7 linked regions of the Coturnix japonica genome follow. The protein of the gene in region 6 binds, or shares a complex with, the protein of the main gene of each other region. Links are inferred from orthologs where the notes say so. Each region holds a gene or a part of one and is shown on either strand. Other genes may lie near its edges.

Region 1 (3,500 bases), on a different chromosome or scaffold from region 6:
CTTGCTGCTGAACCTCACTCATGTCTTAACTACGTAGTAAATACCATGTTGCCATTACAAATAAAAGCAACACACTGGTTTGAATGTAAGCAGGTGCTGCCTTGAACTGTTGTCTGTGTTACCTGCATTGTGCTGTGTCTCAGAGCTGCTGCTCGGTTCTCCATCAGCAGAGTTCTCCTGTACCAGCAAGTTGTGCTTGCTTAGCTCAAACTCCCACTAACAAGCCTCCACTAGTGTAGCCTCACTCTTGCTGTGCTAGAAAAGATGAATGCACTTGATTAAAGCTAAATTGCAGGACTTGCACTGAGATTAGCAGCATCACAGGAGTCCGTACGTGCTGGAACACGATTCAACTCTTAGAAGCTTGCTGGTACCCTGGGGTCAATGCTTTGTTCTGTCTGCTTGGGGGCAATGAGAATAACCAAAACCACTTTTGCCTCAGCACAGAGGTGGAGACCAGCACAAAGTTGCAGGCAAACACTTGAGCAGGACAGATATTTCAGTCCCCTTCACTCTTTACAGAGCAATGCTAGGAATAGAAGTGCCACAGCCTGTTATTTATGGGGGGGGGTTTAAAGATATAGCCAGTATCATTTGAACACCCACTCAAAGAAATAAAGCTGCCTGAAAGCCATCCTCCAGCTTTAAAGCTGCCACTGACACACTGCTGCACTCACAAGATTAACTGCCCCAGGCTTCAGTTCCACCAAGCACAGCTCACACGGGTTACACCAACCAGTACAAAATTTATTTAACAAAAAATAAGCTTACACTTGTGGTTGCTTCATTAGGTTCAGGTGAGTAAACAAAACACAACGGGGTCGGGTCACTACAGGGTTCCTCTGCCACTATACTCGTTCCAAAGCTTCCAGCATAATGATGCTGTTTCCTCGTATTACCTACAAAGAGAAGTTGTCAGCAGGAGGTGAGATGAAGCACGTTATGCCCACAGCACAGAAGGTTTTCTTTCCCTTTGACTTTTCCTCCTAGAAAGCTGCATGGCATGTGCAGCTCCAAGAGCTGAAGTGAATGAGAGAACTGCAGGGGCTCATGGCAGCAGTCAGCCGGCTGGAAAAGGCTCCTGCAGGAGGGTGGTTGATAGAAAAGGTGGATGAGAGCTTGATATAAGACAGCAATGTATTCTTGTGACCTCACAGCCAGCTGGGCTGCCACCCCTCTGTTACTGCAGCAGACACGGAGGGCTCTGTCCCATCCTGCTCTGCCCTCCTGAGGCTGTTCCCCATTCCTAGAGGTGCCCAAGGCCACGGATGGGCACTGGGAGGCCTGAACTGAAAGGAAGCCCCCAGCCCAAAGCCCAAAGCCCAAAGCCCCCAGCCCAAGGCACAAAGTGGGCCTGGGGGCTGCCATCCCCCCCAGCACTCACCACCATCCCGATGTTGTTCTGCTGCCCTCCAGGCGCCATCTCCACGCACTCATCGATCACCAGGTTCATGAAGGGGTCGAAGCCCCGTAGGATCCCCTGCACGTGGCGGCCGCCATTTAACTTCACTACGAGAAACCGGCTCATTCAGAAACAAGGGGAGGGGGGGGTTAAAAGGGAAGGGAGGGATGGGGGGGGGGGGGGGGCTTTGTGAATGTGGGCTCATGGCACAACCCCGTTATAACAGCGGGACTCACACGACAGCTTCTTGTCCATGAACCTGCAACGAGAGCGCAAACAGAGCAGGCCGCATCAGTGTGGGGTCGGGACCGCCATCATTGCGGGCCCAACCGGACCCAGACCGAACCCGAACCGGACCCCACGGCCCCTCCCGACCCTCTGGGCCCCCCTCATCCCCTTCAGTCCTCCCTTATCCCCCCTCATCCCCCCTCATCCCCATGTTGGCCCAGCTCTCACTTCTTCAGCTCGGGTGGGTGCGCTTTGCTCATGGCGTCTCCTCAGCGCCGCTGCCGCTCGCGCCGCGTAATGACGTCATCACGTCGCACGCTACGCCCAAAGCCCCGCCCCCTTTTCCCGCCAACCTTCGCATCTCGCCGGCAGCCAATCAGAGCGCTCGGACGCGGCGCGCGTGCGCGTTTGGAGCGGCCCCCATGCAGCACGTGCATGGAGACCTGCAGCTCTGCTGCATTGCATGCACCGCGCATTGCACACCCACTGTATGCACGGCATTGCACACACACAAAGGCACTGATACACGTATTGCAAGCCCTGCACGGCTCACCGTGCACACCTTGCACAGCCATCGGCTCACAGCTGGCAGTGTGCACCCTTTGCACACTGCACCCTTTGCACACCCTGCACCCTTTGCACACCCTGCACCATTTGCACACCCTGCACCATTTGCACACTGCACCCTTTGCACACTGCACCTTTGCACACTGCACCTTTGCACACCCTGCACCCTTTGCACACCCTGCACCCTTTGCACACCCTGCACCATTTGCACACCTGCACCCTTTGCACACCTGCACCCTTTGCACACTGCACCTTTGCACACCTGCACCCTTTGCACACCTGCACCCTTTGCACACCCTGCAACATTTGCACACTGCACCCTTTGCACACTGCACCCTTTGCACACTGCACCCTTTACACACCAGCACCCTTTGCACACAGTGCCCCACACCCTGCAGAAGCACTACCCCACACCTTGCACACCTGCACACACCTTACGCAGCCATCACCCCACACTTTGCACACCTGTACCCTATCTATACACTGCACATTTGCATGGCTCATCCCACCCCCTATACACTGCACAGCCATCACCCCATACTTTGCACACACCCACCCCATACATTACACAGCCACCACCCCACACCTTGCACCCCCACACCCCAAACCCCCAGCACCCCTCGAGCACCACGAGTGCAGCTCCTTGCCTTTAATACCACCTTCCCCCACCCCAACAGCACCCGCTAGTGCTGTAGGGCCGCCAAGCCATCCCGCATCCTCTTGGCCATGCCTGGCACCAGGCGTAGGTGCTCGTCCCCACAGGCAGCAACGCAGGCGTCGAGCTGGGAGCGTGCCCTTGTCTCCCCACCGCCCGCCTCCAGGGCATCCTTGGCTCTGTCAGAGCAGTGCAGCGTGCAGCGGCTCAGGCGGTCCTGCAAGGGGATAAAGGGGCATAGATCAGGAGAGTGATAGAACCACAGGGGTTGGAAGGGACCTCTGGGGCTCCCCCATGGTGATAAGCATTGACTGGATCCCCTCTCAGCCTCTGCAGGTGAACAGCCCTCGGGGCTCTCAGCCTTCTCCCATCAGGGGATGCTCCTCCAGGCCTCCACCATCTCTATGTCCCTACATCAGCTCCCTGCCTGGAGCTGAGCAGCCACAGCTGGACCCAGTGCTGCAGATGCGGCCTCAGGGCAGAGCAGGAGCACCTCCCTCACCCTACTGGCCACGCTCTTTTTAAAGGACCCCAGGGTCCAACTGGTCTTCATGGCCACCAGGATGCACTGCTGGCTCATGGTCAGCCTGTGGGCAATCAATGGTCAACTGTTGGTCAGCCATCGGTCAACTGTTGGTCAACCATTGG
Region 2 (3,348 bases), on a different chromosome or scaffold from region 6:
GGCACCACCTGCTGATGAAGCATTAAGATGAGGCACAGTTGCAGTGCCCTACCCACAGCTCAGTGAGCCACGCTGATATGGGAGCAGGTTCTGTTTACACCTACTGTGCTGGGGAGTTTTAACTCCACAGCTGGGTCACTGCCTTTTTGCTGTATTTAATCCATCTGTAGCACTGAAAGTATACCTGTGTATTTGAGAATAGATGTAAGACAAATGGTCACTGATGAGACAGCGCAAAGTCACACACAAATCCATGAGGTACAGCCATTTGTGTTTTGGCTTGTAGAACCTCTCTCCAGCCTAGAGATGCAAGTAGATCCTTCACAAGGGGAGGCTCTGACTAGCAGCATCAGCAAAGCAATGGTTACCTTTAGGAAATGCTGATAGGTACAGAACAGCTTCGGTTAATGTCAATGGTTGCTCTTAACATTTGAGAAAGCAATTATGTTCCTGCCAAAACTTCAGTTATCTGGATGCCTGATAACAAAGAGTGGCCTGTTGTTAGTGTTTTGTGTGTTCTTTCCATAATACTGCAGATTGAGATCAGGCATTCCCATTCCACAGGCTGTTTTAGCTCTATGAATGCCACTGAAATTCATGACTCTTTATAGCCTCTGGGTGAACTCCCCCCATAGTCAAATACAAGAACAAAATAAACACCTGATGACAACGTTGTGGAAAAGAAAAAAAAAAAAAGAAAAAAAACCCTTTATTTCCAGATATACAAATCATCATTCTCTCATTTCTCCATCTTCTTCCTCTTCTTCCACACCTCTGATGTACAAAACATTATTGCACCTGTAAATAGAATCAAGAGCTCCCTTAGTTGAAATGTCTTAATTTCCCTCGCAAATACAATGTTCACTTCACATGGGAGTTACAGCAGCATTTAGTGCTCCAATACACAGAATCACACAGAATCACAGAATTACCCAGGTTGGAAGGGACCTCAAGGATCATGTAGTTCCAACCCCCCTGTCTGGCAGGGCCACCAAACATACACATTTACTAGATCAGGTTGCCCAGGGCCCCGTCCAACCTGGTCTTGAACACCTCCAAGGACGGGGCATCCACAACCTCACTGGGCAGCCTGTTCCAGGACCTAACCACTCTTCTAGTAAAGAACTTTCCCCTAACATCCAACCTAAATCTTCCCTCTTTCAACTTAAAACACAAGCACATCCCCTAGATCCACCAGCTTCAACAAAGCAGTAACACAAGACACAGAAGTCCCCACAAGACCCCGTTCCCCAGCTCAGGCACCACGATTACCTTATCAAAACTTCTCCCAGGTGTCCAGACAGTGCTCCATCGATGTACTCTTCTGTGTTTGCAAGCTTGGAACGAAAATCAGCACAAACATTACACCAACAGGAGCCTCACTACTGCTTCCCTCCCACAAGCAAGCAAGGCCCGGGTCCCTCCCTCCATCCCTCACCTGCATGTTCATGTAGCCGTCGACGGAGACGAGGTATCCCTTGTACTCCATCCCCCACTTCAGCTTCACCATCACCGGTTTCCCCGTCAGCCCGTTGAGGAAGGGCTTCGGGTTGAGCGGCAGGCTCTAGGGGAGAGCAATGGTCAGCACCGCCCGCCATCCCAACCGCTAACGACAGCCTCCCCCCACCCTGCCCTGCCCTGCCCTCACCATGGCGATGGGGCGCGATGGCGGCCCGAGAAGCGCAGAGCCAGGCGGGATCGCCTCGTGCGCGCCGCGGGCTGAGGCAGAATGGAAGGCAGCGCTGAGATACCTTCCACTTCCACTTCCGTGCCGCCGCGCCGACCTCCAACCTCTCACCCCGCCGCGCCGCCTTCGCGATTGGCTACGGAGCCACGGAGCGCGAAGGGAAAAGGGGTTGTGGGCTCAATCTTATTAGTTGGAATGGCCGCCCTCCTCATTGCTCCAGCCAATGGTCGTATACCACCTCTGGTTGTGTCGTCTGTGGTGGCCGGGGGGTGGCAGCGCAGCACTGTGCCGCCGCTCTGCTCTGTTAGGCCTTTGCCCCTCCATCCCTCTCCTCCCCTTCCCTGTCCACCTCTCCCTCAGCCCCCGGCTGCCTCACACCGTGTCTTCTGCAGATCCAGAATGTCCCCCCTCACATCCCTACCTTTATGGATGGATAGGATAAGAGCAGCAATTACGATTCTTCTTAATAAATGTTTATCTGAAGTGCACTCGTATTTGTTTCTGTGATAATTTATAATGGATGTGTTTGTCCTCATGTGTTGGCTGGGGAACAGAGATAACGTTAAAATAAAGCTTTTTTTTTTCTTTCTGACAGTAAAACTCACTGGGCGCCAGTTGAAAGAGAATTGCTTATAAGTTTATTGCAAGGAAGTTAGTGCTGAGGATATGTAGGAAATAATAAACAATGTGGGAAATCGTGTATATGGACGGTTTTCATGCCCCTTGCAGCAAAGAATAGAGAACTTGGAGTGAAAACATACAAGGCGTCAGAATGCAATGAGCTCAGCATGAGTCCTTTGGGTTAAAGGCCATGGAAGACTTGCACTTTTCTGACAGTTGTTAATGGTGTATATGTGAATGACAATAGAACAATATGAGTGTTTTGTCTGTAAACAGCACTTTTTAGGTTTGGAACCAACTTTTATCATGTCTCCTACTTGTGTTGGGAAAGCTGTGTACCAAGAAGTACAGGACCAGCTACATTCTTTTCTTCATATAGTCAGTTCCTCTGATGCATGACTTGGAGAAGGACTTGGGGGTCCTGGTGGATGAGAAGCTGGATGTGAACCAGCAGTGTGTGCTTGCAGCCTGGAAGGCCAATGGTGTGCTGGGCTGCATTAAAAAGGGGTGGCCATCAGGGAGAGGGAGGTGATCGTCCCCCTCTGCTCAGCTCTTGTGATGCCCCATCTGCAGTACTGTGCCCAGACCTGGAGCCGTCATCACAAGAAAGCTGTGGAACTCTTGGAATGGGTCCATAAGAGGGTCACTAAGATGATCATAGGGGTGGAGCACCTCTCCTATGAAGAAAGGTTGGGGGAATTGGGCTTGTTTAGCTTGGAGAAGAAAAGGCTCCGGGGAGAACTCATTGTCGCCTTCCAGTATTTGAAGGGAGGGTAGAAATAGGAAGGGAAACAACTGTTTATGAGGGTGGATGGTTGTAGGACAAGGGGGAATGGTTTTAAATTGAGATGGGGAGGTTTGGGTCAGATATTAGAAGAAAGTTTCTCACACAGAGAGTAGTGACCCACTGGAACAGGTTGCCCAAGGAGGTTATGGATGCCCCATCCCTGGAGGCATTCAAGGCCAGGCTGGATGTGGCTCTGGGCAGCCTATTCTAGTGGTTGATGACCCTGCACATAGCAGGAGGATTGAAACTGTAT
Region 3 (4,105 bases), about 19 Mb from region 6:
CCAAATAATTAAGCATAAATTACAGGAGAAATGGCAAGCAGTTGCTTTAGAGCACGATTACCTTTAACTTATTTCTGGAAAGACACACTGATTAACACTGCTGGGCAAAACTTTTACTGCCTGAAGACACAAACTTTGTGGAGTTTACTGGATATTAATTGTTAACGGCGCAGAACAAAACCAGAAGCATTCCCTATTCTGTTAGGCTTTAAGGGCTTTATCCACAGGAACACAGCCTCAGCTCCCTCTGCATTCTGAAGCCCCTTCAATTCGGTTCTCCAGCAGATTGTTTGTATCCACTGCCAAGTGAGATTTCAGTCCAGCACCGCTCCTGAGGCTGCTCTATATTTTCTTATTAGGCTAAATACAAAGTTACACACAGAAACCAGGGAAACAGAGCAGACATTTTGAAAAGAGAAACTGTGCATCCCATTGGTGCTGCCTCTGAGAATGCCATAGGTTAAGATTTACTCACACTTAAAGACGTTTACACTTTAAAACAGATGCATGAGAAGCTGTGTAAATAACTTCTCATGAAAGGAGACTACAGACACAATGAAGGTACACAAGGCAGAGTTCGGTACAAACCCTCAGAGATGAAAGCAATACAGAAATTAAGATTTCCAATCACATGCCTTCAGAGCGAGAGCACGAAAACACAAAGTAAAACAAGCAGAGACTGGGAAATCATGCACTCACCTGCTTCTCTTTTCTTGGACTTGACTTTTGGTTCAACATCTACTAGCAAGGTGTCCAGGGGCAAACTGTCTGGTAGGATGAAGTATCGGATGTTATTCCCCCGAATGCTCAATGTCTCCAGCTGTACAGGCTCCCTGTTCTTCAGCGTCATTTTCACAGCCTTGAGATGAGTATTCATACTGACATCCACTCCTGAAATAACACAAGGCTGATTTCAGGGGTGGGAACACACAGGATGACTCCTCTTTGGCTATTATTAACTGTGCACGTGCTTCAAGACTTTGCTAACACACGCTTCTGGATCTGTGCCATTTGTTAATTAAGCCTCTTAAGTGGAAGAAGAAACTACATCTTTTTTTCCTCTATTAATTATGCTGATTTATCAGCTGCTGCCCTCAACACTGATATATTTCCAAAGGAAGAGCCACTTACCACCAGCTGTAGGGATCTGTTCCTAGGTCTTAAGTCATAGCAACACTAAACACTTAAAATGATTCCTCCGGACAACAAATAAACTGCCACTTACTACAAAAGCATAATATTTGTCTTTTTTACTCCTTTCAAAAGAAAGAAAACGAACTTTTGAGTAGAAAAATAACACTGCGTTTCCTTCTAAGTACAACCATGATCTTCTGATCAAACACATCTAACATCAGCATCAGAAGCACCAACTGCAGGTGGCACCGTGGCTGCAACAGGCTTCGTACACCCATGTACAGGGATGACTGTCATTTTAGAACCATGGATGGCACTGCAGGGTTTTACAGGTTCTTAGCACAGCATGAGAGAGACTTTGCTCAACAGCGAAGGCTGTGAGAGTACAAGGGTAGGAGGCACAGAGTGCTGCCACCACAGCCAGCTTCTAACAAAATGGACGGATCTGGCTGCAAAATAACGTGCTTTTAACCCTTACATCTCAGTAGATTGTAACCATGTTCAGCATTTACCATTTATCTGTGCTACCGTTAGAAAAATATCTCTCTGCCAGTGACTCAGTGGTGACTTCTTGATGCAACTACAGTGTACTGCAGCTTTACCAATGAGATCACAGAACGGTTTAAGTTGGAAGGGACCTTCAAGTTCCAGCCCCAAAATGTTCTGAAACATAAGTGGATAGGCTGTATGACCACTGCCCTTTGATACAGCAGTGACACTGTCTCACAATGCCTGCATGCTGCTGCAGTAATTTCAGATTACCACACTTACACCAGCCACGCCAGCACCGGTTTCCTTTACCCCACACAGCTCAGATCAGCCTGGGAGGCTGCTGGCACACCGTACCTGTGATGGTGCCATGCACCTGCGTCCCGTTCTTCAGCTCGATGGTCACAGTCTCGTGACTCAGCTTCATCAGAAACCTAGGAATTAAGCACAGAGTGTTTGCTGTCACACTAAGCCTTATGTCCAACCACATGCTGATACGGGGAACCGATCGATGTACATCCTAACGCAAACGTTCTCAGCTGCCATGAACTGCACTGAAGGTGCTCCATGGGGCAAAGCCAAAGCCCCAAACGGCGCCCAATTGCCAGGGGCTGGAAACGGTGGCACCGGGCTCAAGCAGCGTCGGGACAACGCTTCCAGTCACAGGGTTTGTGTTTTGAGCGCCCTGCGTGAGTTGGGTTCGGGATCCCTCGTGCATCCCGTCCAACTCGGGCTGCTCTCTGACCACCAGCTAAGCAGCAGCCATTTTGGATCTCGGCACCGCGTGAAGGCGCTTCCACCCGGCTCCGCCCCCAACCCCCCGGGGTGGTTTCCCGGGCAGCCCCGCTCGCAGGCCCAGCCGCTCGCCGCAGAGCCCAGGCCGCAACGAGGCCCCGACAGGCCGGGCGGCCTGTGTGTGGGGAGGGGGAGGCGGCCTGCGCGGGCTCCCCGCCGCCTCTCTCCGCGATCCGCCTCCATCCGCTCACCTGACGAGCTTCATTGCGCCGGCGGGACGGCGCGGCGGCCGCGGGGCTTTCGGCGGGCAGCGGCGGCCGCCCCTGGGGGCACGAAAAGGCCTCGGCGGAAGCGCCGCGAGCGCGGGCGGACAGGAACGCGGCCTCCAACGAGCGCACCGAGCCCCGAGAGATTGAGCGGCCGCCGCCGGCTGCGATCAATGGGCGGAAGCGGCGCGGCGGAAGGGGCGGGACGCAGCGCGACTGCGCGGGGCTGAGGGCGGGCGGGCACTGAGGGGATGCGCTGCCGCCATTTTGGAATGGTGGGCTCGGGATTATACGTATCTAAGCACTGTAGCTGTGTGCAAATAGTCTAGTCCGCACCAGCGATGCTTCTACGTTAAGCAGTTGATAAGGAGCTCAGGCACACAAACGCAGCGGCCAGGATCTAGAAAAATCAGACCTTTTATTATCATTGATGAGTACACTGTTGTGATTTCTGCAATACAGACTCTTTTTGTAAAGCACTGAGATCTGGCTGCCCTCCAGCTCTGAGAACCCACGTTAACCCACGTCTCTCCCTCCATCCCTACACACACACCACAGCTCTTCTTTTCCACATGAAATCTGTTATTTTATGTTTTGCTTTAAACAAACCGCAAAGAACCAAGTTTGAGAGGGCAGCTGCCCGAGAGCCGTAAGAACCATTACATACTGAGTTTATGGTGTTCCTGCACTTTGAGTCTATGACAGAGGTGACACTGGTAAATGAAGTCAGAGAGGAGTTTCCAGTTAACCACCAATTGGTATTCCCAGCACAGCATCGAGAAGCAGACAGAGGCATGGTGAGTACTGATGTTTATGTGCAGGTTATGCTCACATAGAACCAGAAGCCTCCAGCAACATTCAAGGTTAAAATGAACAGATAACTGCAAAAGTCTGTACACAGTTTCAGTCACAACACAGTGAAACACTGGAGTATCAGTGCTTTGTGTTCTAACCTCAGTAACAACAACTGTGCTAGCTCTAAGATTCTACACGTTTCTCCCCCCATTTACATTTTATAACTGCAATCTGAATATACAGCTGTACTTACAGGAAATATTAAACAATGTGCAGCGCCTTAAGCAAGTTTCACGGCTGGTTTTGAACAAACCATATAAAATAAGTGACAAAATAGTTTAAAATTGGTCCTCAAGTAGGATTACTTGTTTTTTATACAGCTTGGAAGCACTAAATTTAAAGACACACATTTATTGTTAACCAGCACATGTTATTTTGTAGCTTTTTAAAGAAAAAAACCTTTCCTTTTAAAGTGTGTTACATCATGCATGAAAAGCAAGAAGCTGCTCCCAAGTGCAACATGGCATTAGGGTGACACCTCCTCCTCTGATCCATACTCCTTTTTTTTGTGAGTTATTCCAACAACATCAAGAACAGAAGCAGCTGACTAGCAAAAACAATACCAAATTCACCTTTGCATTGCAACCATTCTTAAAGTGATGGAGAACTTTGGGCCTTTAGCATAA
Region 4 (4,052 bases), on a different chromosome or scaffold from region 6:
GATACACACAGCAGTATAATATATCAAATTATACAAATATCACAGTAGATCCTCCAGTCCGTACCCATAATAAATGCAGCACAGCTATTACATGCAATTAATGTGTTTTAATACCTCGCTTGACATTGAAAAAAAACCAACCAAACAAAAAAACAAACCACCTCTGTGAGTCTCCTAAAATATTTTGCTTGAAAGACGAAACTCCATGCAGAAGGCACACCAAAATCACCAAGAGCTCATTACTCACCTGTGTCTATTACAACTACACATTGCTCCCCATCTCTGGACATTTCCCTTGCCAGCTCCTCCTGTATTTGTTACCTAGAGATAAATTAGAAGTTGCAGCCTACAGGGCATACCGTACCATGTCACAGTGCAGCTCCAAGTTTAAGTCTCCTTTGTTAGTGTGAAGTCGTACATAGCCCTTCTTCTTCACATACTGGTATCTCACAACATCATCTTCAATAGCAGCTGTAACAAAACAAAAAGCAGTAATTAGGTCTCTAGAAGTTTATTCATTGATCAGCAAACAAATGACTAGATTCTGCTTTCTGGCTTATTCCTCTGGAGTGCACTAGGTCTTCAGGGGTGGCACTCGGCAATTTATCTCCGACAGCCTCACATTAATCTCTCTGTGCAAACCACTTTCCATTACAGAAAGCCACCAACTCCTTGAGAGCCAACAATACAATATATAAATTACATACATCTGCTTTTAAGTCACAGAAACATTTGATATCATATACTGTAATTTTCAAGTAACGTCTGCCAATCACAAACATTACTTTGAAACCAAATAATTTCTTGTCAAACTTGGAAGTTAAACAGGTTGTCATCGGCCAACCACAAACTGCTGACATATGGAGGATCTACCCAGTTCTGGAAACAAATGGAGCTAAATTACTGGAAACATTACTGGAAAGTCAAACCAAGGGATCAATCTGGAATACTTCCACTCCTGTTGTGTCAAAACATCCAATTAGTCAAACACTTCCAATGCTCAAAGATTCACGTGTAAACCACTGTAATTCAGGAACACGACCTGGTAACCATGTCATTTCAGTATGGCATTCCATCTTCGTTCAGTACTTTACATTGAAGAGCCCAAAGCCAGACATCTCTCCACACAGACAAGCTAACTGCTCAACTATTTAATCAGTGTTCACATTTAATTAGGCCTACAGATTTATATGGAGGCTAGAAAATGAAAGAAAATCTTTACATTACTGAAATGTACTTTCGCATAGATTACAACTTTGAAAAGTAGTAAATCAAAAGTTATCATTAAAAAACCTGCTGTTAATCTAACCAAACTAGGTTAGACCAAAAGGGTGGTAAAGATTTTGTATGCAATACCAGGAGAGATTACACTTCACAGCTAACTTACATAAGCAGATACCCCATTTTGTGGGTCCCAGGCATAGAAAATACATGGAACTGAAATTAATGTTGTAAGTAACTGCCATTCAGAGATTAAGCTAACGCATAATAGCTCCATTATTTCCAGAATGAGATCACTGGAATGTACATACATTTCTGCATCGTCACTAACTGCTTATCAACGCATTCCTTATCCCTGTAAAAGTGTGTGTTCAAGGGAGCACACCTTAAAACTGCAAGGTAAGCAAACAGCTTGTAATACATAGTTCTGGTACCTGCTTCATGGGTAGTTTCAGGTACCATTGCAGTGGAGGTGAAGGAAGCACTTACTGCTCCAGTGGAATAATGGGCCTGTTTGCAGAAGAAGAAGCAAAAGAAAAATACATTAGATCTTAGAATCTATTTTAAATACCATATATGTACTAGATACTGCACAAGCAGTGTAAACACACAAGCGGCATTTACATCATACTTCTGAAGTCAGATTTCCTGCTCTAGCTCCTATAGAAAGGGACAGATATGTGATGCACTGGTATTTCTCCATCTGTTCCCCGTAACATTTCGCCTCTAGTGAAGGCTGCCCAGGCACTGAGCTGAAGTGGTTTACTCCTTCAACAACAATTCAACACATTATTACGCAAAGATTTTATTATCAGAATTTATTCCTCACAAAAGGCCATATGCTGCATTACTACTCTTTCTTGTGCAAACATAATCAAAGCATGAAAACACAGACATCCCAGAATGATTGAAGGAAAGAAAAATACTCTGCCAGGCTGGAGGAAATCTACATGCAGACGAATGTTTCTTTGGATAACCATGAACACACAGTAGAAAAAATGGGGAAGCAACTGAAGTTGATTTATGTATTTGCCCACACCAGAAATGATTCACCTGTACTGCCCTTAAGGTGTGTTCCCTCTGCCAGTAACTGCAGGAAGCAATGACAAACAAATTCAAAGCAGGAGATTGCAACCTGGGAGAAAACATTCTCCCAGCACATACATAATGACCATACAAGACAGAATCCTCCTTCTTGCTCTGTTTCTAAAGAGTTTGGGTTCATTTGTAATGATTCAACAAAGACACTCACTGACACACACGACGCATTGCAATGGAATCCCAGTATGAGTTTCATGTTCGCAACTATGATCAACTTCCATGTAACTGAGAACACAAGGGATGGTGTCTGTCCTGCAATATTCTCTCTTCAAGAAGTATATTGGTGCCAAGTACAAATTGCGTCAACTTACGGCATTCAGCTTATCCACTTTCTTCTTCTCAGGAGCCTTCATAGTGGCTGCTAGAATCTCATCACCCTTGAATTCCTTATAAAGCTCCAGTAAAGTCTCTCGGGTCTCTGTATTTGTATTTTTCAAGTAATAAGATGGATCCAATTTTGCTTTTTCTTCATCTAGATAAGACAAAGTTAAATCATTCCAAATTAAAAGAAAAACACTCCTTGTTACACGAATGTCTTCCAGATCTCTCTACATTTTTAAAATAAAAAGTCCAGTAACTATATCTGCTCCTGCAGAAGCAACAAGTAGCAATGTGTAACACTAAAGACAAGGTAACCTGAAACACGACACAATGAATGCTGATATGATCGTGAAAACAGAAAATCAATTTCAATTGTTGCAGAAATCTCTTAGGAACCTCTAGGAATTATCCAAGTTCATGCAAGTCTAACCAAATTACTTCTATAGAACAATAAAGACAACAGCCTGTTGGGTACAACATCAAATCCTGTCCTTTGTCCCCTGAATGACCAGGTCTGCAATGCAGAAGTCCCAAGATCAGACCTTTACTGGGACACCAGGAGGAGGAAGTGGGGTTAGACCTGGAGAATTTCTTCGTTTTAAGCAAGTTTTATTCATCTTGGCATGTCTTCTATTCACTGAAAATTAAACATTCCATCCTTCAGATATTACCCTCTAAAAATAAGTGGGTAATAGAGAAAGAGATGCTTGAAGAGTCAGCCTTAAGGAGCTGAGCACAGCTAAGACTCAGAAAAACACACCATGCTCAGAATATGCAAACAGTATCAGAAACAATTCCAGTGGAAACCCCAGGGACACAGGAGAGACTTTATTCCTCCAGTTATGTAATATTAGCATTTAGCTATCAAAGAATAGAAATAAATAATTTGCAAAGTCCTTAGTTGTAAAACCCACAAAGAAGGACAAAAAAGGTACTTTATTTTGTACTGAAATAATTTTAGGGGTATATTAGAAAAATGTATCAGTCTTAGTTTGTAAGACGTCTGCTGCCATCCAGCCAGAAGGACAGACAGCACGCTGCCACAGCACTGACATGAGAGTGCCCAGCACACAGCAGGTGGGAGCGACCTGTGACAGGATGGAGCTTTGCTGCTCCTGGCTCTGCTGAGAGGATACTGGCAAATCATTTCTCCTCCTCTTTTCAGTTCTCCCTCCCCACATACTCTTAAAGGACAACCTTCTGTGTCGGCACAGCACTCACAGATACTCACAGACAGCTCATGATTTCTAAACAAACCACATCTTTGATACAAAATTTATTGACATTTTTGATGCAAAAGGGCCGGTTTCAAATTCAGGCTGCTGTTTTCTCAGCCTACCTTCAAGTTCAGCCTTACCTGGATCAACCACTTTTATGTTGTTCTTAACATGAAAAAAGTTGGAGACATT
Region 5 (4,535 bases), on a different chromosome or scaffold from region 6:
GGGCACTGTGGATGCAATGGGGGGCTCTATAGGGCCCTGGGGATGCAATGGGGATCAGTGGGGGACACTATAGGGGCTCTGGGGATGCAATGGGGATCAGTGGGGGGCACTGGGGATGCAATGGGGGGCTCTATAGGGGCTCTGAGAATTCAATAGGGATCCATGGGGGACTCTATAGGGCTCTGTGGATGCAATGGGGATGCAATGGGGATCAGTGGGGGACTCTATAGGGGCTCTGGGGATGCAATTGGGGGCTCCATAGGGCTCTGGGGATGCAATGGGGATCAGTGGGGGGCCCTGGGGATGCAATGGGGGGCTCTATGGGGGCTCTGGGGATAGAAAGAGGATCAGTGGGGGACTCTATAGGGACTCTGGGTATACAATGGGGATCAATGGGGGACTCCATAGGGCACTGTGGATGCAATGGGGGGCTCTATAGGGCCCTGGGGATGCAATGGGGGACTCTATAGGGGCTCTGGGGATGCAATGGGGACCAGTGGGGGGCACTGGGGATGCAATGGGGGACTCTATAGGGGCTCTGAGGATTCAATAGGGATCAGTGGGGGACTCTATAGGGGCAGTGGGGATCAATAGGGATCAATGGGATCAATAGGGATCAATAGGGATCAATAGGGATCAATGGGGAGCAATAGGGATCAATGGGGGACTCTATAGGGGCTCTGAGGATTCAATAGGGATCAGTGGGGGCTCTATAGGACCCTGGCTATACAAGGGGATCATTGTGTTGCTCTATGTGGGGCCAAACATGGTCCCCCCCCCGTCCTCTCTCACCTGTCCGTGCTCCGCCCTGAGGCCTCATTGGGGGCGGTGAGGCCGGAGGCCGCGGATCCACTGGGCCGAGCGGCGGCGGGAGGAAGGGGCGGCCTACCCGGAGGTGTTTACTGACACGGAGCTGCTGGTAGGAACACAGGCTGTACTGGAAGGACGAGCTGAAGAGCCCCGAGCGGGGCACACGGGCCGAGGACAGCGGGATTTGGTACCAGCGGAGCAGCCCCGCCCGCTGACCTCGTCGCGCCGACGTCCCGCGCAACATGGCGGCCATGGGCGGGCGGGGTGAGAGAAAAGGGCGGGCTCTCCTCAGAAAGGCGGCGCTACCAAGTGCGGCTACTAACGGCGGGATTGGCCGTTTAACTGCCGACAGGAGCCCGGCAGCCAATCGCGGCTCGAGGGTTCGACCAATCAGCGCGCGCGCTGAACGGGATTGGTTAAAGAAGAGAAGTGTCCCGCCCACCTGTGCTCTCAGCCAATCAGAAGGGGTGGAGAGTGTCCCCGCCCCCCACCTCCCGCGGTGCATGCTGGGAGCTGCAGTCAACGGGCCTCTGCCGCGGTGCATGCTGGGAGCTGCAGTCAACGGGCCCCTGCCGTGGTGCATGCTGGGAGGCCTTGTGCGGAACCTCTTCCGGGATCGGGCTGTTTCCGCTTCCGTTGTTTCCGCTTCCGCCGGAAGTTCAGCTCCAGGGCCTGTTCCCGTGCACGGCGGTGGCGGGGCGGCAACATGGCGGACGTGACCGCTCGCAGCCTGCAGTACGAGTACAAGGCGGTGAGTGCCGGCTCGGGGCCTGTGCGCGGTGGGGATGCCGGCCTCATTCCTCCGGGCCTTCCCCGTCTAACGGGGGCCAATATGGCGGATCTCGTATAGTGAGGCCTTGTCGGGCCTTGTGTGGCCTGTGGTGATTTAAACCGGGCCTGTTTGAAGCCGGGGGCTTTAAGAGATGGTTGGAGGTGCGGCCTGCGTCCCTTATGGGCGGTGGGGGCTGCTGGATATAGGGCTGTGGGGAGGATAATAGGGGCTATGGGAGGATATAGGGCTGTGGGGTGGGGGTAATAGGGGCTGTAAGAAGGATATAGGGCTGTGGGGAGGATATAGGGGCTGTAGGATGCTTATAGGGCTGTAGGATGCTTATAGGGCTGTAGGATGCTTATAGGGCTGTGGAGGGATATAGGGCTGTGGGGAGAATACTGGGGTATGGGAAGGGTAATAAGGGCTGTGGGGAGGGTATTGGGCTGTAGGAAGAAAAATAAGGACTGTGGGAGGATATAGGGCTGTAGGAAGGATATTGGGGTATAGGAAGGGTAATAAGGGTTATGGGAGGAATGTAGGGCTGTGAGAAGGATGTTGGGCTGTGGGGAGGGATATAGGGCTGTGGGGTGGATATTGGGGTATGGGAAGGGTAATAGGGGCTGTGGGGAGGATATAGGGGCTGTAGGATGGCTATAGGGCTGTGGGGGGGTAATAAGGGCCGTGGGGAGGATATAGGGCTGTGGAAGGATATAGGGCTGTGGGGGGGAAAATAAGGGTTGTAGGATGGATATAGGGCTGTGGGGGGGTGATAAAGGCTGTGGGGAGGGTATTGGGGTATGGGAAGGATAATAAGGGCTGTGGGGATGATATAGGACTGTAGGAAGGATATAGGGCTGTGGGGAGGATAATAAGGGCTGTGGGAGGATATAGGGCTGTGGGAGGGATATTGGGCTGTGGGGAAGGTAATAAGGGTTCTAGGAAAGATATAGGGCTGTGGGGAGGATAATAGGGGCTGTGGGAGGGATATAGGGCTGTGTAATAAGGCTGTAGGAACATAAAGGCTCCACCTGATGCATTGTGACCCCCATCCCCCCCCCAGAACTCCAACCTCGTGCTCCAAGCTGACCGTTCTCTCATTGACCGGACGCGACGCGATGAACCCACGGGTGAAGTGTTGTCCCTGGTGGGTAAATTGGAAGGGACGCGGATGGGAGACAAGGCGCAGCGCACCAAGCCACAGATGCAGGAGGAGCGACGGGCCAAGTGAGAGCTGAGCGGGGCCTGGGGGTGGGAGGGGGCTCTGAGGGGGCTGTGGGGCTTCAGTGGTTATAAGCAATGTGGAATCACACAGTGATGGAGGTTGGGAAAGAGCTGTGAGGTGATGGATCCCAATTGGTGCATACACCACTGAGTGGTGGCATTGAGTGGTGGTATCGTGTTGGTGTATGGTCAGATACCAACATATATGGTTGTTATATGTGGTTGAGTTGTGGGTCCTCAGAGCCCCCCCAGGTTCATCTCCTGCCCTGGTGCCCCCCTCCAGCTTATACCCAACACAACTTCAGTCGCCTTTGGCACCTCCAGGGTTGGGGCACCCACAGCTCCTCTGTTCCACCACCCTCATAGTGAAGAAGGTGACCCTAAATCTCCCCTCTTTTACCCCAAAGCCGTTCCCATATCCATCAGCCCATCCCCAAGCACCACATACACACACCTTTTGATCCTTCAGCATCCTTCACAGCTTTCCCAATGTAGAAATACTTCCCCTCGACCAAAACTTCCCCAATTCAACCCAGGGCTGGGGTCTCTTGTGATGCTGTGGGATAAAAGATCAACCCCCCCTCACTGCTGTGTCCTCCTTTGAGGCAGATATGGAGTTTCTCCTTTTCTCTCCAGGCTAAATAACCCCATTCCCTAAGCTGCTCATTGTAAACTGGCTCCAGACCCTTTGCAGCTTCATTCTCTCTCCTTGTCGGGAAGCGAAAAGTGAAAGGAAAAGGGCTAAAAAGGAGGAAAAACGGGGCAGAGTTTACCTTTATTTTTAACAAAGGGAAGGCCCACGCTTTGCTGTCCAGCATTACTGGGATTCCCTGCTTTGAGCTGCTATGGGTGCTCTCTGTTTGCAGGAGGAGGAAGCGCGATGAGGACAGACACGACATCAACAAGATGAAGGGTTACACTCTGCTGTCCGAGGGCATCGACGAGATGGTGGGGATCATCTACAAGCCTAAAACCAAAGAGACACGGGAGACCTACGAGGTGTTGCTGAGCTTCATCCAGGCTGCCCTCGGGGACCAGGTGAGGAGCTGGATGTGTGTGATGGGGGCACATCCATATCACAAGGGGGATAATATCTGTGCCATAATATCTGCCCCTATGGTGATCTCCTGCTTATGTGGCTGCTGGTTGTTCCCCAGCCACGAGACATTCTGTGTGGAGCTGCTGATGAAGTGCTGGCAGTGCTGAAGAACGAGAAGCTGCGTGATAAGGAGAGACGTAAAGAGATCGATCTGCTGCTGGGCCAGACTGACGACACCCGTTATCACGTGCTGGTGAACCTGGGCAAGAAGATCACGGATTATGGTGGTGACAAGGAGATCCAGAACATGGGTATGGACAGATTATGGTGACAAGAAGATTTAGAACATGGGTATGGGCACAGATTGTGATAGTGACAATGAGATTCAGATCATGGGTATGGGCACAGATTGTGGTGGTGATAAGGAGCTTTAGAACACAGGTATGGGCACAGGTTGCAATGATGATAAGGAGATTCAGAACATGGGTATGGGCACAGATCATGATAATGACAATGAGATTCAGAACATGGGTATGGGCACAGATTGTGGTGGTGACAAGGACATTCATAGCATGAGTATGGGCACAGACTATGGTAGTAACAAGGAGATTCAGAGCATGGCTGTGGGCAGACTATGCTGGTGACAAGGAGACTCAGAACATGGGTATGGGCACAGATTGTGATAGTGACAAT
Region 6 (4,620 bases):
CTCTAGCAGTTATATTATATTGACTTTACTCAAGAACCTTCTGCAAAGCCTATCCTCGAACTGCACATCAACTAGCCAGCTCCAGTTATCCAATAGTAAACATTATCCAATAAAGCCCCAAAAGATAGTGTGCTCAAACTGACCCAAACTCTTCCAACATGTAGGGCTTCCCCACCGTTGCCATACTCTATGACACTCTTTAGGTCTTCAAATCCATTCCAAACGATCTGAACAACAGACCCCTCACTGGACGCTTGAATGTTACTGGAATTTTTTTTGTCTTGCGTACTAGTCAAATGTTTTTGCTTTTCAGATGGCAGATTTTGCTTTGCTTCTTGATGACGCTGTCTGGGGGAAAGCAGCCCGTTAATTTTCCCATAAGTTACTACAGCATTTGGATCCAAATCAGTATATTCTAAATTCTGTGGAAAAACATGAATGGCACCGTGTTTCAGAAATGCATGAACAGCTGATGCGTTCTGTACGCTGGGAGGCTGGGACTGGCATACTCTAAAAATGGAATCCATGTGAATTAAGTTCAGCAGCTTGTCTTTGAAGGCGCTCATTTCATCCTTATCACACAGAGTCTTTTGTTTCTGTTCAGCTGTACGAGAGAAAATGCTCCCTATGAAATTCCACATATTTGGGAGAACACTTGAGCCAAACGTCACATTTGCATCAGCCTTACTCTGTTCAGGGACTCCTGGGTTTAAGTGAGGTTGACTGGCAAAAGGCTCCTTTACAGTTACGTCTTGCTCCATGCTATTCTTCACAAAGCTCTTGAGTAAGATGTCACCTTCTGTAGAAGGCATGTCTACGACGTTTTCCTCAAGCTCACGCGCTTTGGGGCAGATCAGAAGCTCCGTGCAAGGTTCTAATCTCCCATAGGGGGCTGCTGGCATAAGTGTACCTGAGTATGGATAAATCAGATGAATGAATGCATCCACTCTTGCAAAACAGCTTACTCAAGGCACCAGCAAAGCATTCACTGCTGCTTACCAATTCTGATGTAAACGTGAGTGTGGTGTTCAACCCAAACAGGAAAGATGGCTTTGGGGAATACGATTCGGATCTGGTCCAGAAGATGCTTTTCAAGAGAGGAAGCGTGCAGTTCCTGGGAAAGTGTGGTATCATTGTAAGCTACACACTTGTACAACCTTTAAAATGTGTTTGAACATAGAAGATTCACATCTTTTTCTAATACACCATTTGAAACATAAAATACAATGAAAACCCACAAGACTTAGCATTTGCTTAGGAGCAGAAAAGAACGGGGGATTGCGACAAAAGCTTGTATCAACATTCTCTGTCATTTGCATGAAAATGATGTGAACAGTGGGACAGGTTTTCTTACCAGTATTTCCCAATCATCTGCTGAGAGCGGTTCCACTTCTACTTGCTGACAGGAGGAGACGTGTGAACAGGGCTCCACGAACACCTGATAGAAGCAACATTATTTCTGAATAATTTAACTCCTTAAACACATAAAACCTCTACTCAGAAACTCAAAAAAGGGACCTGCATTTCAAACCTGTTCTCCATCTGCAATGCCAAGCTTCTCTGCTAAATGCCTGTTCATCTCTGCGATATTTTCACCCCGCTGACCTCGATGCCTCATTTCCATCCAGCTCAGGTAGATGGGCTCATCACGGCAGGATACTTTGACAGCTTGGCCCTGTGATTATCAGGCAGATGAAACGAATTACTATCAAATCATACTCAGAAATACTCAGACCCATCTGGGTCCAGGGGCGAGGGGTCCCGGCCCGTTCGGAGGATGCACAGTCACCACAGCGACAGTGCGGGGGGCGGCTGGTTGCCCTGCGCTGTCGCTGTGGTGACTGTGCGTCCTCTCGAGGAGGGCTCTGAGCACCGCCATGATGACGGGATACGATGGGGGGAGGAAGGAGAACCTCTCTCCCACAATCCCCTCCGAACGGGCCGCCCCCATCTCGTCCCCGTACCTGCTGCAGGCGGAGGTGCGAGGCCAGCACGGCGGGCAGGTGAAGGAAGCAGTCCCGGGTCCCGCTCAGCACCACCGTCACCGCGGCGACTCCAGCGGCCCCTCCGCCGGGGTTACCGCTGCCCCACATGCCGCCAGCCGGGTGGGCCGGGCTGTAGTTGCTCGTTCCGCCCGGCTTCTCGGCAGCGCCCACTTCCTTCCCGGAAGAGCCGACCGGAGCCGCGGTGGCGGCCGGGAAGATGGCGGCGGGCGGTGCTGGCGGGCCGGGGGAGGCGTGTAGGCACCACCAGCAGCTGGGAGCATGCGGGTCCAGGGCCAAGTACCGCGAGGGGCGGCGACCCAGGGCCGTCAAGGTGCGGGGTGAGGGCGGGTGGGCTGCTGGAGACTTGTTTAGTCCGCAGGTGTCGGTGCTCTGACATCTGGAGAAGCATCAGCTCCAGCTGATGTTCTGTGATGTGTTCATCCCTGCTTGAGTTCATCCCTGCCCGCGGTGGCTCCACACAGCGGGCAGCACGAACGCTTTGAGTTGTTGTTTTCGCAGTGAGGTAAACGTGGGCATTTTAGAGCATTGAACAGCATCTCCCCTATGAGGAGAGACTTAGGGAAGTGGGTCTGTTTAGCCTTGAGAAAAGAAGGCTGAGAGGGGACTTGATCCAGGTTTATAAATACCTGAGGTGGGGAAGCCATAGTGGTGAGGCTGGTCTCTTTTCAGTAGTGCGTGGGGACAGGACTAGGGGTAATGGGATGAAACTACAGCATAGGAAGTTCTGCATTAATGTGTGGAAGAACTTCTTTACAGTGAGGGTGACGGAGCACTGGAACAGGCTGCCCAGGGAGGTGGTGGAGTCTCCTTCTCTGGAGATATTGAAGACCCGCCTGGACGCCTACCTGTGTGACATGGTGTAGGGAGCCTGCTTTGGCAGGGGGTTGGACTGATGATCTCTAGAGGTCCCTTCCAACCCCTACAATTCTGTGATTGTCCTGTGCTTCTTTCAGGTGTACACCATCAACTTGGAATCGCGTTATTTACTAATCCAGGGAGTTCCTGCGCTGGGCGTCATGAAGGAGTTAGTGGAGCAGTTTGCCTTGTACGGAGCCATAGAAGAGTACCATGCACTTGATGAATATCCCGCAGAGCAGTTCACTGAAGTTTATCTGATAAAATTCCAGAATCTGCAATGTGCCAGGTATTATACACAGCACTATCTGCCTTTTGTTGTTTTAATCCTTCACGGCCCCTTTATGTATGATCTACATCATACAGAGTTGAAGTAAAACCCTCAGCTCTGCTAATGCCATTTAGTTTCCTTCAGGGTGGCCAAGAAGAAGATGGATGAGCGCAGTTTCTTTGGGAGTTTGCTGCACGTGTGCTACGCTCCAGAATTTGAAACAGTCCAAGAAACCAGGGAGAAGCTGCAGGACAGAAGGAAGTATATTGCAAAAGCAACAAATCAAAGAGGTTTGTAGTTAAATCTCATGTCCAGTTTTAATTCCAGTGGTTGGTACGTCTTGGTAAAGCCAAAAGCATCCATTGATGAAAATATACTGTGTTTAGCTGTTTTACATTAGGACATTTCTCAGTTATTCCTAGAGATGGACCTTTCAGAAAGCAACGTTTTAGTTAACATGCACTTTAAAGCTTTTAAACCTCATTGTTTCCTTCATTTCTTTTCAAAACGTTACCTGAAATTTTAAGTACTGCCAGGAAACTGAGGATCAGTTTGTTCCCCTTGTTACAGTTCTTTCAGGCATACCCAAAAAGAGAGATTAGTAAGAGAGCCCCCTCCCTGCCCCTTATTTCCTGCCTGTCATTTGGGTCAGTAAGGAACACGAGGAATGGATTGGGCTGACAGGCAGCTTTGCTGCTGAGTTCCCAGGCAGCGCTGAAGGCTGGACAAGCTGTAAAATAAGTACAATGCCAGGCACAGGCTTCTCCTTTCCTATGCTTATGTACTTGGATATCATTATCCACTGCAGGTGCTGCTTAAGCAGAATCACAGGAAGGTGACTGGGAATGAAGTATTGCTGGTATTATTTCTGTCACTGTATTGAACACTTTATGTATTAGAACTAACAGTGGCATAAAATAATGAAGCTGTTTTCCTTTTCTTTTCTTGTTGTTTTAAAGACTGCTTTCTGTTGAAGAAAACAGAGAGGCCTCGGAGGACCAAGTCTGATTCTCAGTGGAGTACCCCAGGATCACATGCAGCCACTCACTGGGATCCATCCTGCTTTCCAGTTCCTCATGGGTTGTCCCAAAACATGGAATATCCTTCTGGCAATCACAGTCAGGACCTTTTGGCTTTTCCCCACTGCGACAACCCCAGTGCTGAAACCTCTGGGAACTCCAGTCAAAGCTCATCCCTAACTCAGAAGGCGCATCCAGGAGGATGTGCTGCACCAGTGCCTTTAATTCAGCAAAGAACAGTTCCAGCTGATAACGGCATTGACAGGTTTATGCCTCGTACAACTCACCTGCAGGAACGTAAGAGGAAGAGAGAAGAGGGTAACAAATGTGCCCTCACTGAAACAAACGTGGACAGTACTGACATCGTTATTGGCCCACAGCTACCAGAAGTACCTCAGGTGGATATGGATGATGATTCACTGAATACATCAGCTATGCTGATTCGAAATAAGCTGAAAGAGGTATGGAT
Region 7 (4,147 bases), on a different chromosome or scaffold from region 6:
CAGCCCTCTAAGACAAACCCTGATACAGCATTAACAGGCAGCCAAAAGCAGATGTTGTACAGTGGTTTGAGACCTTTACCTTCCAAGTACTTGCTACTTCTCTCCTGCTTCCTGAGCTCCTGCTGCTCTCTCCACAGCATGTCAGCTGACACCAAGCCAGCTTTGACCCCAGACATCATCTTGGCCTGCAAATCAAACAAGAATCACATTTCACTGCTTATAATAGTAAAAACATTCAGGCAGTAATGACAGCAAGATCCACCCTCACCTCCTAAAAGCTTCCACTGTTTGTTCTGAACTCCTCCATGAGCTTCACTTCATCTGGATGCTCATCAATAAACTGCCACCTGAAGCTCAGATAACAGACCAAACAAACAGCTTAAGACAATAAAGAAAGAGATCCATGCTCTCTAAACAAAAGGGTCCGGTGGAGCAGCTTGGGAGCTTCTTCTTGCAGCGGTGGCGTTCAGTTGTGAGGTACAGTGGTGACACTCATTGGTAGAGCATCTCAGGCTCACAACCTTCCGATGCTGTTGCTATGTAACCCTTCCATACAATGTCTGTTACCAACCCGTTGTTTTTAGTTAGAAATGCTTTCTTGCAATCAGGGATGGAGCGCAGCGCTCTGCTTGGCCTCCAGCTGCAAGCTGGACAAATCTAATCACAAGAGAGAGGTTATGCTTCGTGCTGAAGCGAGCCCCCAGGCAGCAGCGCTAAGAGCCATCAGCAAGGCTGTCCAGAGAGAAAGCTGTAGGGACTAATCCATGACCATTAGCTACTCTGAAGAAAATAATGGCCAAGGGAAACAGTTTAAATGGCCTCTGCGTGTTTATTGCCACAAGAAATTGACCCCCAAGGAGCTGCTGGAGCTTCTGAAGACTTTGCTGTCAAATATAACATGGCGTGTTGTTCATTCAGCCATTTCTAGTAGAGAACTAGAGTTATATGTACAGCAAGCAGCTTCTTGCCACATACTGACCCACCTGGCACAGCTCCCATAAGGGCTACAGGAAGCTCTGCTGTGCTAACTTCACTGCAAGCCAAAGACTCCAGGAACCAGAAGGGTTAAGAGTTACACAACATTGAACAAGCAGAAGCTCTCTGGGCTCATTAGCAAGGACATGGAGAACATGGGGCAGACATAACATGAGCCCACAGGTAAATCAGCTCACAGTATTAAGTTGTTTCAGAGCAAAAAACACCCTCTGGAAGAACTCAGCCATAGCTGAAACCACAACCGTGTGCTGCAATAGGCCAACACACCAGATAGGATTAACCCTCCATGACTTAAATCCCAGCATGCTTCCACCATGAAATAAACCTGAGATTTAGGACATCTGAAGACCTGTCAACTGCCTTCAGAGGACAAAGCATTTGGCATAGAACATTTCAACACAGTTTCTACAGTTTATTAGTAAAGAAATAAGTGGGTCAGACACCAGTGTCTGCAGCACCTCATGAAGGAACACCAGGGAGCAGAAGTGTTCCTCTGTGGGCAGCAGCCACTCCAGTTTTTGGCACTGGTCCTTTCTGGCTGGCAGGAAAATCCTTTTCCAGCAGCTCTCCTCTAAACACAGCCTTGCTTCCAAGAAGACAATCCACTGGGATACTGAATGCCAAGAACAGTGCTTGGTCCAGGCAGAGGAGCCGTTACTTTTGGCTCTGGCAGTGGTAGCAGGCAGATCTCAATTCAGTCGTGCTGTTTCACATGGTTATTTCTTCTATCTACATGTCTTCAATGCTCCACTTGTATGCCAGCTCCTGAACTGCCTTCTTATTGGCCATCCTGGCAAAGAACTGCTGCTCAAATCCGTTGGACCTACAAAATAACACCAACAAGACCATGGGCTACCGTGCACATCTACTAAAGCCACAAAGCTTTTAAATGACATCACATGTTTGCCACTACTTTTGCATCAACACCTCCAGCTGAGTTTCCACTCTGAGCTGTGGCAAACAGCAGGCAGTGCCACAACAGATCAGAACAGAACCTGGCTCCCTTTTGTCCCAGACAAGCATGTCCCTACCAGCCATTCATAACCATGAGAAGTGTTAAGGTTGAATAAGTTGCATCTCACTCACTGTAAGCTCTCTGAGGCAAAAGCTCATTTAGTTTTACTACCATTCAATGACATCAGTGTATCAGGAATACCTACCTGTCCACCCCATCCCAGCGATACCCAGGCCATATATTAAATCTGTTGAGAGGAGGTGCTGGTCCACTGTACCTAGGTTTCTCTAGAGACAAAAACAGCAATACAGACATTGGTTACTACAATGCAATCTTCAGGACTCAGCTGCCACAGCAACCTCACACTGTTCACTGAACAGCAGCTGCATTTCTATGCTCCTTGGGCATTAAAACCTGCACCAGCACAGCTTTCCATACCTTTCTTCTCCTTGTTCTCTTTGGCTTTTCTTTTTTTGATGAACTCAGCCATGGGGTCTCCTTCTCTCTCTTGTTCTCTCAGCATTCGATCCAGATCTTCATCGTCAATGTAACGGGCCAATGGTTTCTGCATTTCTTTTATTGCATCTTCCACATTCTGCTGCTGCTGCCTTTCCTGTGCTAATCTAAAAACACATACAAAGTACCACCTCAAAACTAAGGAATAATTTACTGCCATCTGCTCAAATTGTAGTATTGATCAGAATCTACTGTGTGTAGCATCCCTGAGAAGCACCCAGCAACAGACAGGGTAATCCCACACAAAATAACCTGGTCCCAGGCACAAAACTCATTGCCAACCCCCAGTCTGCAACCTGTAAAGTGACATGTCACCAAGACACCTTACCCCTTTCCCCATCTGGCATATTGCTCATCATGCAACAACTTTGCTTCATCTTTCTGCTTCTGCTCAAGACGTTCCTGCACAAGGTCCCTCTTGCGGCCTGACTTGTCGCGGAAGATGGTTTCCGTGTGTCGGGATTCCTCTAGGGATAACAGATATCCTGAGTCACTCACGTGGGAATATTTCAGTTTCCAAACCACTCCATAGCTCATGCAATGAGCTATAGGTGTAACAGCCTGCTCCTTCAGATCAGGAATAGCAGATGGGGCAGATGAGACACAAAAGCCTCACAATTGTCTCATTGGCACCTCTTTGAAATCACCACTCATAAATTTCTATTTTAGAGACCCAGTGGCTTTTACCTGTGTATATTCATCAGCATGCCTGGATGCCAGCCAACACAGACACTCTCCATCAACACCCTTACTACCAGCATTTTAAGACATGCCCTGATACAGCATTAACAGGCAGCCAAAAGCAGACTAAAAGCTGATGTCTGTGCACTGGTTTCAGACTTTTACCTTCCAAGTGCTTGCTACTTCTCTCCTGCTTCCTGAGCTCCTGCTGCTCTTTCCGCAGCACGTCAGCTGACACCAAACCAGCTTTGACCCCAGACATCATCTTGGCCTGCAAATCAAACAAGAATCACATTTACTGCTGGCTGAGAGCTGCCCAGTGACTCACAGGTATGATAAGGGGAAGTTACACGAGAGGCAGCTCTGTTACAAAGCCACTTTGCTGCCATCTTTGCAAACAGCTTCCACAGACTTCCAGAAATACAGAGTGCTCATGCAGAGCTCATCTTCCATCTACCTCACACGTGGTCTTATGGCAAACTGACAGTGTGGCACAGCTGCATTTACAAGCTATATATCTGCTCTACCATCTGTAAGCCATCACACTGTTAATGATTGCTATCAGAGGAAGCAATCTTCAGCACAGACGGAAAGACAAACCCCTTACCTTCTTGGGAGATCCCTTCTCATCTGGGTAGCGATGATCTGAGAGATTGGAGGGACTCCTTGAACCACGCTGACCCTTTCCAGAAGGCAGAGCCCTTTGAGGATGAGAGAAATTGGAGCATGAAGACTTGCTCTAAACACATTTAAGAGGACCGTGCTTATGAGAATCACTCATAATTCACATTATGAGAATTCACATGTGGAATAGACCTAACCTGTGATTCTTCCGCTGGGGAGAAAGGTCTGCCTCAGAGGCACTTTGGGCACCTCTTCGTGGAGGTGGAGAATCAGAGTCATGACGCATCTTTTTTACCGAGGAAACATCTGCAACACAAACATACATTAATAAGAACCACCAGAGGCCTAAAGATGGTGACAGATGAGATAACCCAC

What was found.
Region 1: RBM48 (region 6) and SNRPG share a complex: the UniProt entries of both Homo sapiens proteins name them as parts of the minor spliceosome. The link is inferred for Coturnix japonica from reciprocal best matches to the Homo sapiens genes RBM48 and SNRPG.
Region 2: RBM48 (region 6) and SNRPF share a complex: the UniProt entries of both Homo sapiens proteins name them as parts of the minor spliceosome. The link is inferred for Coturnix japonica from reciprocal best matches to the Homo sapiens genes RBM48 and SNRPF.
Region 3: RBM48 (region 6) and SNRPD1 share a complex: the UniProt entries of both Homo sapiens proteins name them as parts of the minor spliceosome. The link is inferred for Coturnix japonica from reciprocal best matches to the Homo sapiens genes RBM48 and SNRPD1.
Region 4: RBM48 (region 6) and PPIL2 share a complex: the UniProt entries of both Homo sapiens proteins name them as parts of the minor spliceosome. The link is inferred for Coturnix japonica from reciprocal best matches to the Homo sapiens genes RBM48 and PPIL2.
Region 5: RBM48 (region 6) and SNRNP200 share a complex: the UniProt entries of both Homo sapiens proteins name them as parts of the minor spliceosome. The link is inferred for Coturnix japonica from reciprocal best matches to the Homo sapiens genes RBM48 and SNRNP200.
Region 7: RBM48 (region 6) and BUD13 share a complex: the UniProt entries of both Homo sapiens proteins name them as parts of the minor spliceosome. The link is inferred for Coturnix japonica from reciprocal best matches to the Homo sapiens genes RBM48 and BUD13.

The regions. Positions count from the first base shown.
Region 1 is NC_029537.1:791,300-794,799, reverse strand, and holds SNRPG (small nuclear ribonucleoprotein G), read right to left. Parts: upstream 1,978-3,500; 5' UTR 1,891-1,977; coding exon 1,859-1,890; intron 1,662-1,858; coding exon 1,639-1,661; intron 1,510-1,638; coding exon 1,385-1,509; intron 900-1,384; coding exon 849-899; 3' UTR 727-848; downstream 1-726. Other genes in the region: protein FAM136A, read right to left, coding at 2,881-3,069. UniProt on the Homo sapiens protein: Plays a role in pre-mRNA splicing as a core component of the spliceosomal U1, U2, U4 and U5 small nuclear ribonucleoproteins (snRNPs), the building blocks of the spliceosome.
Region 2 is NC_029516.1:41,569,854-41,573,201, reverse strand, and holds SNRPF (small nuclear ribonucleoprotein F), read right to left. Parts: upstream 1,806-3,348; 5' UTR 1,652-1,805; coding exon 1,649-1,651; intron 1,565-1,648; coding exon 1,439-1,564; intron 1,338-1,438; coding exon 1,273-1,337; intron 799-1,272; coding exon 732-798; 3' UTR 673-731; downstream 1-672. UniProt on the Homo sapiens protein: Plays a role in pre-mRNA splicing as a core component of the spliceosomal U1, U2, U4 and U5 small nuclear ribonucleoproteins (snRNPs), the building blocks of the spliceosome.
Region 3 is NC_029517.1:39,382,146-39,386,250, forward strand, and holds the start of SNRPD1 (small nuclear ribonucleoprotein Sm D1), read right to left. Parts: upstream 2,801-4,105; 5' UTR 2,624-2,800; coding exon 2,610-2,623; intron 2,058-2,609; coding exon 1,981-2,057; intron 892-1,980; coding exon 700-891; intron 1-699. UniProt on the Homo sapiens protein: Plays a role in pre-mRNA splicing as a core component of the spliceosomal U1, U2, U4 and U5 small nuclear ribonucleoproteins (snRNPs), the building blocks of the spliceosome.
Region 4 is NC_029530.1:470,138-474,189, forward strand, and holds part of PPIL2 (RING-type E3 ubiquitin-protein ligase PPIL2), read right to left. Parts: coding exon 4,001-4,052; intron 2,795-4,000; coding exon 2,634-2,794; intron 1,732-2,633; coding exon 1,656-1,731; intron 472-1,655; coding exon 365-471; intron 1-364. UniProt on the Homo sapiens protein: Has a ubiquitin-protein ligase activity acting as an E3 ubiquitin protein ligase or as an ubiquitin-ubiquitin ligase promoting elongation of ubiquitin chains on substrates.
Region 5 is NC_029537.1:1,057,803-1,062,337, reverse strand, and holds the start of SNRNP200 (U5 small nuclear ribonucleoprotein 200 kDa helicase), read left to right. Parts: upstream 1-1,427; 5' UTR 1,428-1,516; coding exon 1,517-1,561; intron 1,562-2,642; coding exon 2,643-2,806; intron 2,807-3,669; coding exon 3,670-3,841; intron 3,842-3,960; coding exon 3,961-4,153; intron 4,154-4,535. Other genes in the region: protein FAM178B, read right to left, coding at 793-1,063. UniProt on the Homo sapiens protein: Catalyzes the ATP-dependent unwinding of U4/U6 RNA duplices, an essential step in the assembly of a catalytically active spliceosome. Plays a role in pre-mRNA splicing as a core component of precatalytic, catalytic and postcatalytic spliceosomal complexes.
Region 6 is NC_029517.1:20,668,556-20,673,175, forward strand, and holds the start of RBM48 (RNA-binding protein 48), read left to right. Parts: upstream 1-1,675; 5' UTR 1,676-1,877; coding exon 1,878-2,003; coding exon of another isoform or gene 2,004-2,093; exon of another isoform or gene 2,094-2,115; intron 2,116-2,173; exon of another isoform or gene 2,174-2,202; coding exon of another isoform or gene 2,203-2,316; intron 2,317-2,959; coding exon 2,960-3,150; intron 3,151-3,276; coding exon 3,277-3,422; intron 3,423-4,091; coding exon 4,092-4,612; intron 4,613-4,620. Other genes in the region: PEX1 (peroxisome biogenesis factor 1), read right to left, coding at 144-910, 1,000-1,114, 1,355-1,438, 1,532-1,675, 1,965-2,093. UniProt on the Homo sapiens protein: As a component of the minor spliceosome, involved in the splicing of U12-type introns in pre-mRNAs.
Region 7 is NC_029539.1:4,398,270-4,402,416, forward strand, and holds the end of BUD13 (BUD13 homolog), read right to left. Parts: intron 4,079-4,147; coding exon 3,970-4,078; intron 3,850-3,969; coding exon 3,756-3,849; intron 3,420-3,755; coding exon 3,314-3,419; intron 2,935-3,313; coding exon 2,796-2,934; intron 2,575-2,795; coding exon 2,390-2,574; intron 2,239-2,389; coding exon 2,157-2,238; intron 1,820-2,156; coding exon 1,726-1,819; 3' UTR 810-1,725; downstream 1-809. UniProt on the Homo sapiens protein: Involved in pre-mRNA splicing as component of the activated spliceosome. As a component of the minor spliceosome, involved in the splicing of U12-type introns in pre-mRNAs.